Oryctolagus cuniculus: one gene and its partners. The protein of the gene in region 3 interacts with the protein of the main gene of each other region in a biochemical or structural test. Links are inferred from orthologs where the notes say so. Each region holds a gene or a part of one and is shown on either strand. Other genes may lie near its edges.

Region 1 (3,515 bases), about 220 Mb from region 3:
TGCTTGGGCCCTGCACCCCATGGGAGACCAGGAAAAGCACCTGGCTCCTGGCTCCTGCCATCGGATCAGCACGGTGCGCCGGCCGCGGCGGCCATTGGAGGGTGAACCAACGGCAAAGGAAGACCTTTCTCTCTGTCTCTCTCTCTCTCACTGTCCACTCTGCCTGTCAAAAAAAAAAAAAATCTTAAAACTTAGATCAAGCAACTTATTGTTTTGAAGAATAAGAAGTGTGTAAGTAGACAGAAAAGAGGTTAAGGAATCCATATGTCTCAAGTGAAAACCCTATGATTGGTTCTTTTCTTTAGAAAAACTTTTTTTTTTAAAGATTTATTTTTTTTTTAAGATTTATTTTAGTTATTTGAAAGACAGAGTTACAGAGAGAGGTAGAGACAGAGAGGTTCTTCTGTCTGCTGGTTCACTCCCCAGATGGCCGCAATAGCCGGAGCTATGCCATTCGGAAGCCAGGAGCTTCTTCCTGGTCTCCCACATGGGTTCAGGGGCTCAAGCACTTTGGCCGTCTTCCACTGCTTTCCCAGGCCATAGCAGAGAGCTGGATCGGAAGTGGGAGCAGCCGGGACTAGAACTAGTGCCCCTATGGGATGCCGGCGCCTCAGGCCAGGGCTTTAACTAAACGCTGTGCCACAGTGCCGGCGCCCCCACCTTTTTTTTTTTTTTTTTTTTTTTTTTTTTTTTTTTTTTGGACAGGCAGAGTGGACAGTGAGAGAGAGAGACAGAGAGAAAGGTCTTCCTTTGCCGTTGGTTCACCCTCCAATGGCCGCCGCGGCCGGCGCGCTGCGGCCGGCGCACCGCGCTGATCCGATGGCAGGAGCCAGGAGCCAGGTGCTTTTCCTGGTCTCCCATGGGGTGCAGGGCCCAAGCACCTGGGCCATCCTCCGCTGCACTCCCTGGCCACAGCAGAGGGCTGGCCTGGAAGAGGGGCAACCGGGACAGAATCCGGCACCCCGACCGGGACTAGAACCCGGTGTGCCGGCGCCGCTAGGCGGAGGATTAGCCTAGTGAGCCGCAGCGCCGGCCTTTTTTTTTTTTTTTTTTTTTTTTTTAATTCAAAGGCAGATTTACAGAGAAGCAGAGAAAGAGAGAGAGGTCTTCCATCCACTGGTTCACTCTCCAAATGGCCGCAATGGCTGGAGTTGTGCCTATCTAAAGCTAGGAGCCAGGAGCTTCTTCCGGGTCTCCCATGTGGTTGTAGGGGCCCAAGGACTTGGGCCATCTTCTACTGCTTTCCCAGGTCATAGCAGAGAGCCGAATTGGAAGTGGAGCAGCCAGGACTTGAACCGGCACCCTTATGGGATGCTGGCACTGCAGGCTGTGGCTTTACCCACTACACCGTGCCAGCCCCTAAAAAAACTTTTAAGGTTTGGCAGAAAGTACATAAGGAATGCCATATGGGGTGTGCTGTTCAGTCTTAGTTGTATAGAATTTCCATCTTTTCTCCTTTTCTCATTTCTAGATTCCTCATGGCAGAAAGTATGACAAGTCATGGCTCCTGAACATGATTCAGAGCAAGTGCAGTGTCCCATTCACTCCCATTGAGGTAAAGCAGGGCTTGAGTGGCCAACTAGCTGGGCACCACGGAGGGCAGAGGGGTCATCTGGACAAGGGGTTCTGGTCTTTGAGATTAAGTAATGCTCTTGTCTCTTCTTACAGTTTCACTATGAGAACACACGGGCTCAGTTTTTTGTCGAGGATGCCAGTACTGCCTCTGCGTTGAAGGCGATCAACTATAAAATTCTGGATAGGGAGAACAAGAGGGTATGTTAAAGAGCTTGGTTGGACTGGAGGTGGGGATTGGTCCTTGGGCTGTTTTCCCTGGCGTTTACTCTGCCCTTTGTCCTCCCTCCAGATATCCATCTTCATCAACTCCTCTACCCCACCCCTCACTGTGCAGAGTGAACTGAAGCCAGAACAAGTAGAGCAGCTGAAGGTAGGGCTGGCTCAGGTTACGTGTGCTTGCAGCCCAGTCTTCCCACTTCGCATGCCCCAGCCCCATACCCACCGTCCCTGTGATGGCCGAACTCTTCCCTGGTTCCTCTGTAGGTGATCATGAGCAAACGCTATGACGGCTCTCAGCAAGCACTGGATCTCAAGGGCCTGCGTTCAGACCCAGGTACGGCTGGCAGCAGTAACTCAGACAGGTCACGTAAGGGGGCTCTGTCAGGGAGGGAATGTTGAAGAATGATTAGTGCTGCCGCTGGCCTGGGCAAGTCCTCTCAGATTTTTCTTGCTTTCTTTTCTGCTTCCTGAAGATTTGTTGGCCCAGAATATCGATGTTGTACTGAATCGTAGAAGCTGTATGGCAGCTGCCTTGCGAATCATTGAAGAGAATATTCCAGAGGTGAGGCCTTTGGACCAGTATCAGGCGTGGGAAGCAGCGAGGGATCGATGGCATGGGGTCAGCGACAGACTTGCCTCTGATCTACTCACTAGCAGCACTAAACTCTTTTCTCCCTTATAGCTCTTGTCCTTGAATTTGAGTGACAATAGGCTGTTCAGACTGGATGACATGTCCACCTTGGTACAGAAGGCACCCAACCTAAAGATCCTAAACCTCTCCGGGAATGAAGTAAGAATTGACGGGCTGGCTGTGCTTTTGATGGGGTGGCCAGAGGACATAGTGGGCTTGCCCGGTGATGGCGACAGGCAAGAGATGAGAGTCGGGATGGGAGGTGTGAAGTCCAACTGATGTCTCACCAGGTTCTCTCCTCCCTCTTTTCCCATCTTTTGCAGTTGAAGTCTGAGCGAGAATTAGACAAGATAAAAGGGCTGAAGCTAGAAGAGCTGTGGCTTGATGGAAATCCCTTGTGTGACACCTTCCGAGACCAGTCCACCTACATCAGGTCAGTTGTGGCCTCTGTCTTCCCTCCTGGGGACCTTCACCCCCTGGGAGGCTGAGCTAATGCACCCTGACCAGTGCCCGTCTGCAGGAGATGTGCAGCCCTGAGCTGGAACCACCTGTCCTTTGGGAGGATCACGTGCTCCTCTCTCGTCTGTCCATGTCTCCCAGCCTTGCCCTGAGATCCCCTGTCCTTTGCTTTTCACCTGACCGCCTGTTTGCTGGTTCTTTGGCCTTTCTCCTTCCTCCCTGAACGCAGCCTTTTCTGGAACTTGCCCACCCTATTGTTCCAGGAAGGACATTTCCCCTTTGTGCTCTGACTAGGAGATGTCTCTTATGTGCCCCATAAATGGGGTTGCCTTGGGCCTAGAGCCTGGTGTCCTTGGGCTGAGAAAGCCCTCCCCACTTGGAACTTCCTGCTAAGACAACTTTCTCTTCCTTTGTCCTGTGATGGCCCCTCTTGCCTTTGTGCCAAGAGGGACCCTTTCTCATAATCCAGTTGCCTAAGGCTGTTGCCTGGGCTTTCCGGCACATGCTGAGGTTGAGGCCTCATGGGGGCTGGTGCCCTGCAATCTCTCTGCCTGGTGCTGTGAGCTGGGCCCTCCCTGGAGAAGAAACCTGGGTTCCCCAAGACATGTGACCAGAGCTGTGGTCTCGCCAG
Region 2 (3,515 bases), on a different chromosome or scaffold from region 3:
TCACACGACACAGGACCCTGTGAATATTTTAACAACCCTCCTTTCCTGAGGGTGTCTGTTCCTCTAGTCCCAAATATTTATTCCCCTAGTTTGCATGCAGTATAAATTTATTGTTAACAAGTGCATGCCAACAATGAAAACTGGAAATAACAGTCTGTATCTTGATATGGTATAAGTTTTTCACAGTTTGTCATTCACATTAAATGTGTCAAGATGCCACTGTGTTTAACTTCACTAGACAATGAGGATACAACCTAAAATTCCTTTTAAAACACTCCATATGAGAAAATCATTCAGGGAATTTACTGCCTGAAGTTCATCAATGTTCAATGTAAAAATTTGTCTAAAATGTAAATTATTAGAATTTCTTCACTAATTGACTGTTGAACCTTTATAGCAGCACTGTAACTCCTGCTGAAGTCAAGTTGGATATAAAAATGAAGCCTCCCTAACAATCCATTTTCTTAGAACTTCATTTATAAGCTCTATGACTGTGTTACCTTTTTCTTCTTCATCTGTGTTCTCTGTATTAGCATTGGTCTTGACAACAGCACCTTTATGAGACACAAAATGACCATCAATCAAAACCATATCCCATAATCAACAGCTGTGGCAATTCAAATTCTGACACTAGGGGCCGGGGCCAGTGCCGTGGCGTTAATAGGCTAAGCCTCTGCCTGCAGTGCCGGCATCTCATTTGGGTACCAGTTCGAGTCCCACTTGTCCTGCTTCCAGCTCCTTGATAACAGGCCTGGGAAAGCAGCAGAAGCTGGCCCAAGCATTTAGGTCCCTGCACCTGTGTAGGAGACACAGAAGACGCTCCTGGCTTTGGCCTAACCCAGTGGGGAGTGAACCAGTGGATGGTTCTCTCCTTCTCTCCAACTCTCTCCCCTACTCTCTCTGTATCTCTGCCTTTCAAATAAATAAATACATCTTTAAAAAAATCTATTACACTATAAATGTAAAGCCCTGGAGAAAAAAAATTAGTTAGGAAACCCAGACACTGATTAAAAAAATTTCAAAGTTTCTAAATCAGCTAAGGTATGAAACACTGTTGCTTCAATTTCAATTATTTTTTCTTTTTTTTTTTTTTTTTTTTTTTTTTTTTTTTGACAGGCAGATTGGACAGTGAGAGAGAGAGACAGAGAGAAAGGTCTTCCTTTGCCATTGGTTCACCCTCCAATGGCTGCCATGGCCGGCGGGCTGCAACCAGCGCACCGCACCGATCCGATGGCAGGAGCCAGGTACTTATCCTGGTCTCCCATGGGGTGCAGGGCCCAAGGACTTGGGCCATCCTCCACTGCACTCCCTGGCCACAGCAGAGAGCTGGCCTGGAAGAGGGGCAACCGGGACAGAATCCAGCGCCCCGACCGGGACTAGAACCCGGTGTGCCGGCACCACAAGGTGGAGGATTAGCCTAGTGAGCTGCGGCGCCGGCCTCAATTATTTTCTATTCCAGGTCCTCCCACGTTACTTCAAAATCTAACATTTAGTTCTCTCATAGTATCAATATCTCCAAAGTATTACAGAAAGATGATTATTAAGTCAATGATCAGAAACAGCCGGCGCCGTGGCTCAATAGGCTAATCCTCCACCTTGCGGCGCCGGCACACCGGGTTCTAGTCCCGGTCGGGGCGCCGGATTCTGTCCCGGTTGCCCCTCTTCCAGGCCAGCTCTCTGCTATGGCCAGGGAGTGCAGTGGAGGATGGCCCAGGTGCTTGGGCCCTGCACCCCATGGGAGACCAGGAAAAGCACCTGGATCCTGGCTCCTGCCATCGGATCAGCACGGTGCGCCGGCTGCAGCGGCGGCCATTGGAGGGTGAACCAACGGCAAAGGAAGACCTTTCTCTCTGTCTCTCTCTCTCACTGTCCACTCTGCCTGTCAAAAAAAAAAAAAAAAAAAAAAAAAAAAAGAAACCACCTTGATGCTCAACAGTGGAGTATCTATGCAAATCACACAATGCCATTAAAATTCTAGGTGTATAAACTGCTAATTAGTAGAAACTTAAAAACAAGTTATAGTGATGGAAAAGTATTATGTGAATTCAGAGTAGGGTAAATGCCAGATTTCTCCCCTGTAATATTAAATACATCAACAAAAATTTGGTGTTGAGCCTAGACTTTTGATATATTTTGATAGATTTTGATATGATTTTAGATAATTAGAATAGGTAAACTCTCAGGTTACTCATAATCATTCCAAACTGATGAACATTTTAAAAAGTAACAAATAATAGTTGGCAATATAGTGCCAAAGTCTGGAATAAATTTAATAGTTTATAAACCAATTAGGTAGGCTCATTCTTATAATAAGCACTTTGTGATTACAATCTAGTTTGTTAATTCCCAAATGGAAAGACTGCCAGTATCTGCCAGTCCTCTGGTACAAATACAGTTTTTTTTTTTTTTCTAGGCAGTTGTTATGCCCAAACAGAAATACTCAAGGAAATAGCATTTGTTTTCAAACTAGCTTTTACTCACCATTGGCATCCGGTTTGATTTTCTCGTCCTTAAGATGCAAGTTGCTCAACTAAATGGAGAATATGGAGGGAGGAAAGTGTCAGGAGAGTCACTTACAAGATGTTAAAGTCAACAGAGGCTTCCCAAGAAACAGGGAGAAAACAGCCCCTCTCTCAAGACTGATTCTTAGGTTGCTATTCTGGGTTCCTTTTGTTTGCCAAATGACTGAATGAAAATAAACAAAAATGCCCATAAATGTAGTAAGAAAAAATGATTACTGAGCCGCTTAAAATCCATTCTTCCTAATTATAACCCCTAGAGAGAATTATAATTGATGAGTTTGCTTAACTCCTGATTACAAAGACTCTCAGGGGAATATCATTGTTAGAGTTGTCACTCCCTCACAGTCCAAACAAGAGGACACTGAAGATATCCCAAAGAATGCAGTCACACTGCAGACACAGCCAAGGAGGGAGCACTGCACTGACAGCACCCGCAGGAGGGAAGCAGTACAGTGCAGGACTTGTTGAAGCCACGGCACACAGCATGCTGACACACAGCCAACATCTAAGTCACCTTATGCTTCGTGTCTCATACTCTTAACTGGAAACAGCCCCGAGGATCACTGTGTAATCACAATACTCACCAGGCTGAAGTCGGGATAGAAAGGAAGAGATAGATCAGAGAGGCATTTCAAAGAAAGGATTCTTAGGACTTAGATCAAACAATGGGAATTAGGGATCTCCTGGCAGGACTCCTCTCTCCCCTGTAAGAATGCAACTATCCTGGGGCAGGCATTGAGACATAGTACATGAAGCTTAAACAGATAACTGCATCCCAGCTGCTCTGCTTTTTTTTTTTTGACAGTGAGAGAGAGAGAGACAGAGAGAAAGGTCTCCCTTTGCCGTTGGTTCACCCTCCAATGGCCGCCGCGGCCGGCACACCATGCTGATCCAAAGGCAGGAGCCAAGCTTTTCCTGGTCTCCCATGGGGTGCAGGGCCCAAGCACTTGGGCCATCCTCCACCGCACTCCCGGGCCACAGCAGAGAGCTGGC
Region 3 (4,229 bases):
TTCAACTCTAAACCTATCTTCAGGTCAGAGTTTAGAGAAAAGAATGAGGGCCACCCGGAAGCAGTTGCGGAGGTCAGCCCTTCTCTTCCTCTTTCCCTGAGAGCAGCGGCAGGGGTGGGGCTTGTGCAGTCACGGCCGAGATCAAGGCTCGGGACCTTCGAGGCAAGAAGGCGACACTGCTGAAACAGCGGAGGACCCGCAGGTCACCAAAGTGACAGGTGCGCGGCGTCCAAGCTCTCCAAAGCCATCCCCGTGTTCTCACCGTCATGAACCACACCCAGAAGAACCTCAGGAAATTCCACAAGGGCAAGTAGGAGCCCCTGGACCTGCGACCCCTGGACACGCGCCGTGCACCGCCAGCTCAGCAAGTATGAGGAGAATCTGAGACCAAGAAGCGGCAGGGGAGCAGCTGTCCCCACTGCAGAAGCGCACGGCCAGGTGTCATTAAACACACAAAACGGGGGAAAAAAAAATGCGAATCCACTCTGCGCTGGTGTTCCCAAAAATATGAAAGCCAAAGAGTTTTCCTGGGCTTCGTTCTTCTACATTAGATTCTTTTTTTTAAGATTTGTTTATTTGTTTGTTTTAAAGTCAGAGTTAGAGAGAAGGCGTGACAGAAAAAGCGAGGTCTTCCATCTGCTGGTTCACTCCCCAGACGGCTACAACAGCCAGGGCTGGGCCAGGCCTAAGCCAGGAGCCAGGAGCTTCTTCCAGTCTCCCAGGTGGGTGCAGGGGCCCAAGGACTTGGGCCATCTTCCTGTTTTTCCCAGGCCATAGCAGGGAGCTGGATAGGAAATGGAGCAGCCGGGACATGAACTGGCGCCCATATGGGATGCTGGCTTCACATGCAGTGGCTTTACTGCTGTGCCACAGCGCCAGCCCCACACTAGATTCCTAGTGTTGTTTCATACAGGATTCTTAACACAGCCCACAGACTAAGTTTGATGTTTATACATATTTGCTAGAAGGCAAATATGAGGACTTCACAAAGTTCATGGAAAAAAGAACTAAAAGATTTTAGTCCAAAAGAAATTTCAAAATCCATGCAGTTTTTTCATAACTGTTTTTCATGAAATTTCTGGAGACCCTCATACTTTTAATCCCAACTGATTTACAGTAGCAAAAATTCAGTTTTCCAGGTAAGCCTGTATTATGGTTTCATACAGGAGAGTAAGTTTTTCAGTCTTTTTTGTAATTCTTATCTTTGTTTTTTTTTTTCTTTCATTTATTCAAAAGGCAGTTAGACAGGATAGACACTGAGAGACAGAGAGAGGTCTTCCATCCACTGGTTCACTCTCCAGATGGCCGCAACAGTCAAGGCTGGGCCAGGCTGAAGCCAGGAGCCAGGAGCTTCTTCCAGATCTCCCACAGGGGAGGGAGGGGCCCAAGGCCTTGGGCCACCCTCCGAGACTTTCCAAGCACATTAACAGGGAGCTGGATGGGAGCTGGAGCAGCCGGGACTTGAACCAGCGCCCATGTGGGATGCCGGCACTGCAGGCGGCTGCTTCACCCGCTGTGCCGCAGCGCCGGCCCAGTAATTCTCAACTGGATCATCTCCAGTACCTCTTTGGGTCTCGGTGACATGTGCGTAGTGGGTCAGGATCAGGAGCACAGGAGAGTTCAAAACGAGAACCAACTCAGGGAAAACGAAATCATATCCATCATTGTACTGCAGCAGGCTCAATTTCAGTGCAGCAAAAACAAACAGAACCCCGAGATGCAGAACCGTCCCAGCTGTGGTGCTACGATGTTCATTAGTGTGAGCGAAATAAGAAAACAGTCGGGGCCAAACCTGGGGTAAAGCAGCCGCCTGCAGCGCCGGCATCCCGTACGGGCGCCGGTTCAAGTCCCCGCTGCTCCACTTCCCACCCAGCTCTCTGCTGTGGCCTGGGAAAGCAGTGGAGGATGCCCACGTCCTTGGGCCCCTGCACCCACGTGGGAGACCTGGAGGAAGCTCCTGGCTCCGGATCGGCGCAGCTCCGGCCACTGCGGCCATGTGGGGAGTGAACCGGCGGATGGAAGACTCTCTCTCCCCTAAGTGCATTCCAGGGACTTGCTGTTCACAGGGCTAAAAGCTTCCTGCTACTTGCTCCCCCTCGGCTGTCTGAAATACCCGTAGCTCGCGCTCTGTATCCTCGTTCTGTCAGGACGCACGTGGAAACTGCGGGGTGCGCCACGCTGAGAGCTGTTCCTGGGGGGCTCCCATCGCTCGGACCACTCGGCCCGCCCCTCAGTGCCCAGACTTCAGGCTGGTTTCAGTCCTCCGAGCGCACTCCCTAGGACGATGTCCCCCGGCTCTACGGCAGGCAGGCCCTGGCCACCTGACCCCGCGCTACCCTGGGCCTTCGGGAACATCACTCCCCCAGCCTCGACCTGCTCCTGTACCCTAACTACTGGAGATTACCACGGTGCCCGGCACACAGCAAGCGCTCAATAAAGTCACCGCCACAGAAGCAGCTGCACAAGACCGACACGGCACGGCGGAACCGCGCCCGGAGGGGCCATCAGGCCGACCGCACAGCAGAGCGCTCGTGGGCGCGCCGAGAACTCGGAACGCGGTCAGCTGCTCACGCAGGAGGCGGGGTAGCCGGCATCCGAGCCTCGCCGTTCTGGGCTAGGGCCGCGGAGGCAACGCCGGGACTAAGGCAAGGAGGGCGGCCCCGGCCAGTTTCTGACCTTCATCTCCCGCTCGGGAATCATGGCATCCATCTCGTCTCCCATCGTGACGCCCTCAGCTTGTCTACAAAGCTGCAGCTGCCGCCCGCGGCCTTCCCCACAGAGCCCAGGCGGCTCCGAAGCCAATTTCCTTCCCTCCGCGCCAGCGGCGCGCAGCAGATGACGCACTTCCGGCGCGCTTTGCTGCCGTCTCACGTCCCGGTTCGCGATGCGGTCGAGGAAGGCCGCGGGATCGCCTGAAGTCGCGCGCTCGCCCGGACGCCGCCCCTCATTGGTCGACTCAAAAGGGGGTGGGGCATGAGGATCCGCGCGCCTGCGCTCTGGGTGCGCCCGGCGTTCGCGGTTTGCGCGGGCTTCTTGGTGGTAGCGTCTGGTTAGCGGGGCGTCTGAGCGCCATGCGCTTTTGTTCCCGTGAGGTCTCGGAGGAACTTTTACATGTGGGTGGCTAGTAGTAGCTTCCTTGCGTTTTCAAGGGGGCGGGGCAGTAGGCGCAGAAAGTGGGTGTGGGGCGGCCCTGCCCCTCGAGACCCTAGGGCGGAGAGGGAGGTTAGAGGTCACCCAAGGGTAACGGGTGCTAGAGCCGGAGCCGTTCTCTTCGCCACTTTGGGTCACTAAGGAATGTGCGCCGCCTTTGCGCAAAACGCTGGGTGCGCTCCCCTTTTAAATAAATTAGCTGAGACGCAGAGTAGCAGCGCGAGACATCTCCCCTCGGCTGGGTCACGCTCCAGGTGGCCACAACCCCTGGCCAAGGCCGGGAGCAGGAACCTGACTCCATCCGCGTCCCGCTCGTGGGTGCGGGGGCCCAAGCGTTCGGGCCACCTTCCGCCGCTGGCCGGGCGCATTAGCGGGGAGCTGCGTCCGGGACTCCGAGCCGGACCCTGGGTGCGGGATGCTGGCCTTAACCCGCCCTGGCCGCCAGTCCCCCAGGGGTATTGTCGTCACTTGATGGATGACGAGAGAGAAGCACAGAGTTACCAGTGTCATCACAGAGTGGCGGAGGCAGGATGAGAATTCGGGTTGTTGGGGCCTGGGCTGCGGCATAGCCGGTAAAGCCACCGCCTGCGGCGCTGGTTCGAGTCCCGGCTGTTCCACTTCCGATCCAGCTTCCTGTTAATGTGCTTGGAAGAGCAGTGGAAGACAAAGTGCTTGTGCCCCTGAACCCACGGGGAGGACCAGAGGAGGCTCCTGGCTTCTGATCGGCGTAGCTCAAGCCGTTGTGGACAATTGGGGAGTGAACCATCGGATAGAAGACCTCTCTCTCTGCCTCTCCTCTCTCTGTGTAACTCAGATAAATAAGTAAATATTTAAAAAAGAAAAAAAGAATTCGGGTTGTGTCTGGATGCGCTGGCAACGCAGCCCAGTCGTCCCCGGAACCATTTGTTGTGGAATTGTCCGTAGGTGGGACCCAGGCAGGGCCTGTCCGGCCACTTGGTGTCCAGTAAATTGCTCGTCTGCTCCCAGCCTGCTTCTCTTTGGGGGGGGGGGGGCCTGTGAGGTGTAACGGGAGCTCCGCCTGGCACACGGGCACGCCGTCGGCACTCACGCGCACAAGC

The links.
Region 1: the proteins of NUP214 (region 3) and NXF1 form a complex in vitro, tested with the Homo sapiens proteins (4 studies listed by BioGRID and IntAct). The link is inferred for Oryctolagus cuniculus from reciprocal best matches to the Homo sapiens genes NUP214 and NXF1.
Region 2: the proteins of NUP214 (region 3) and ATP-dependent RNA helicase DDX19B are reported together in a solved structure, tested with the Homo sapiens proteins (2 studies listed by IntAct, with this or other methods). The link is inferred for Oryctolagus cuniculus from reciprocal best matches to the Homo sapiens genes NUP214 and DDX19B.

What each region holds. Positions count from the first base shown.
Region 1 is NC_091432.1:8,792,410-8,795,924, forward strand, and holds part of NXF1 (nuclear RNA export factor 1), read left to right. Parts: intron 1-1,471; coding exon 1,472-1,555; intron 1,556-1,668; coding exon 1,669-1,773; intron 1,774-1,864; coding exon 1,865-1,945; intron 1,946-2,058; coding exon 2,059-2,128; intron 2,129-2,267; coding exon 2,268-2,356; intron 2,357-2,476; coding exon 2,477-2,584; intron 2,585-2,748; coding exon 2,749-2,858; intron 2,859-3,515.
Region 2 is NC_091449.1:56,898,328-56,901,842, forward strand, and holds part of ATP-dependent RNA helicase DDX19B, read right to left. Parts: intron 3,111-3,515; exon of another isoform or gene 3,037-3,110; intron 2,531-3,036; coding exon 2,482-2,530; intron 555-2,481; coding exon 501-554; intron 1-500. UniProt on the Homo sapiens protein: ATP-dependent RNA helicase involved in mRNA export from the nucleus.
Region 3 is NC_091432.1:233,660,823-233,665,051, reverse strand, and holds the start of NUP214 (nuclear pore complex protein Nup214), read right to left. Parts: upstream 2,810-4,229; 5' UTR 2,722-2,809; coding exon 2,677-2,721; intron 1-2,676. UniProt on the Homo sapiens protein: Part of the nuclear pore complex. Has a critical role in nucleocytoplasmic transport.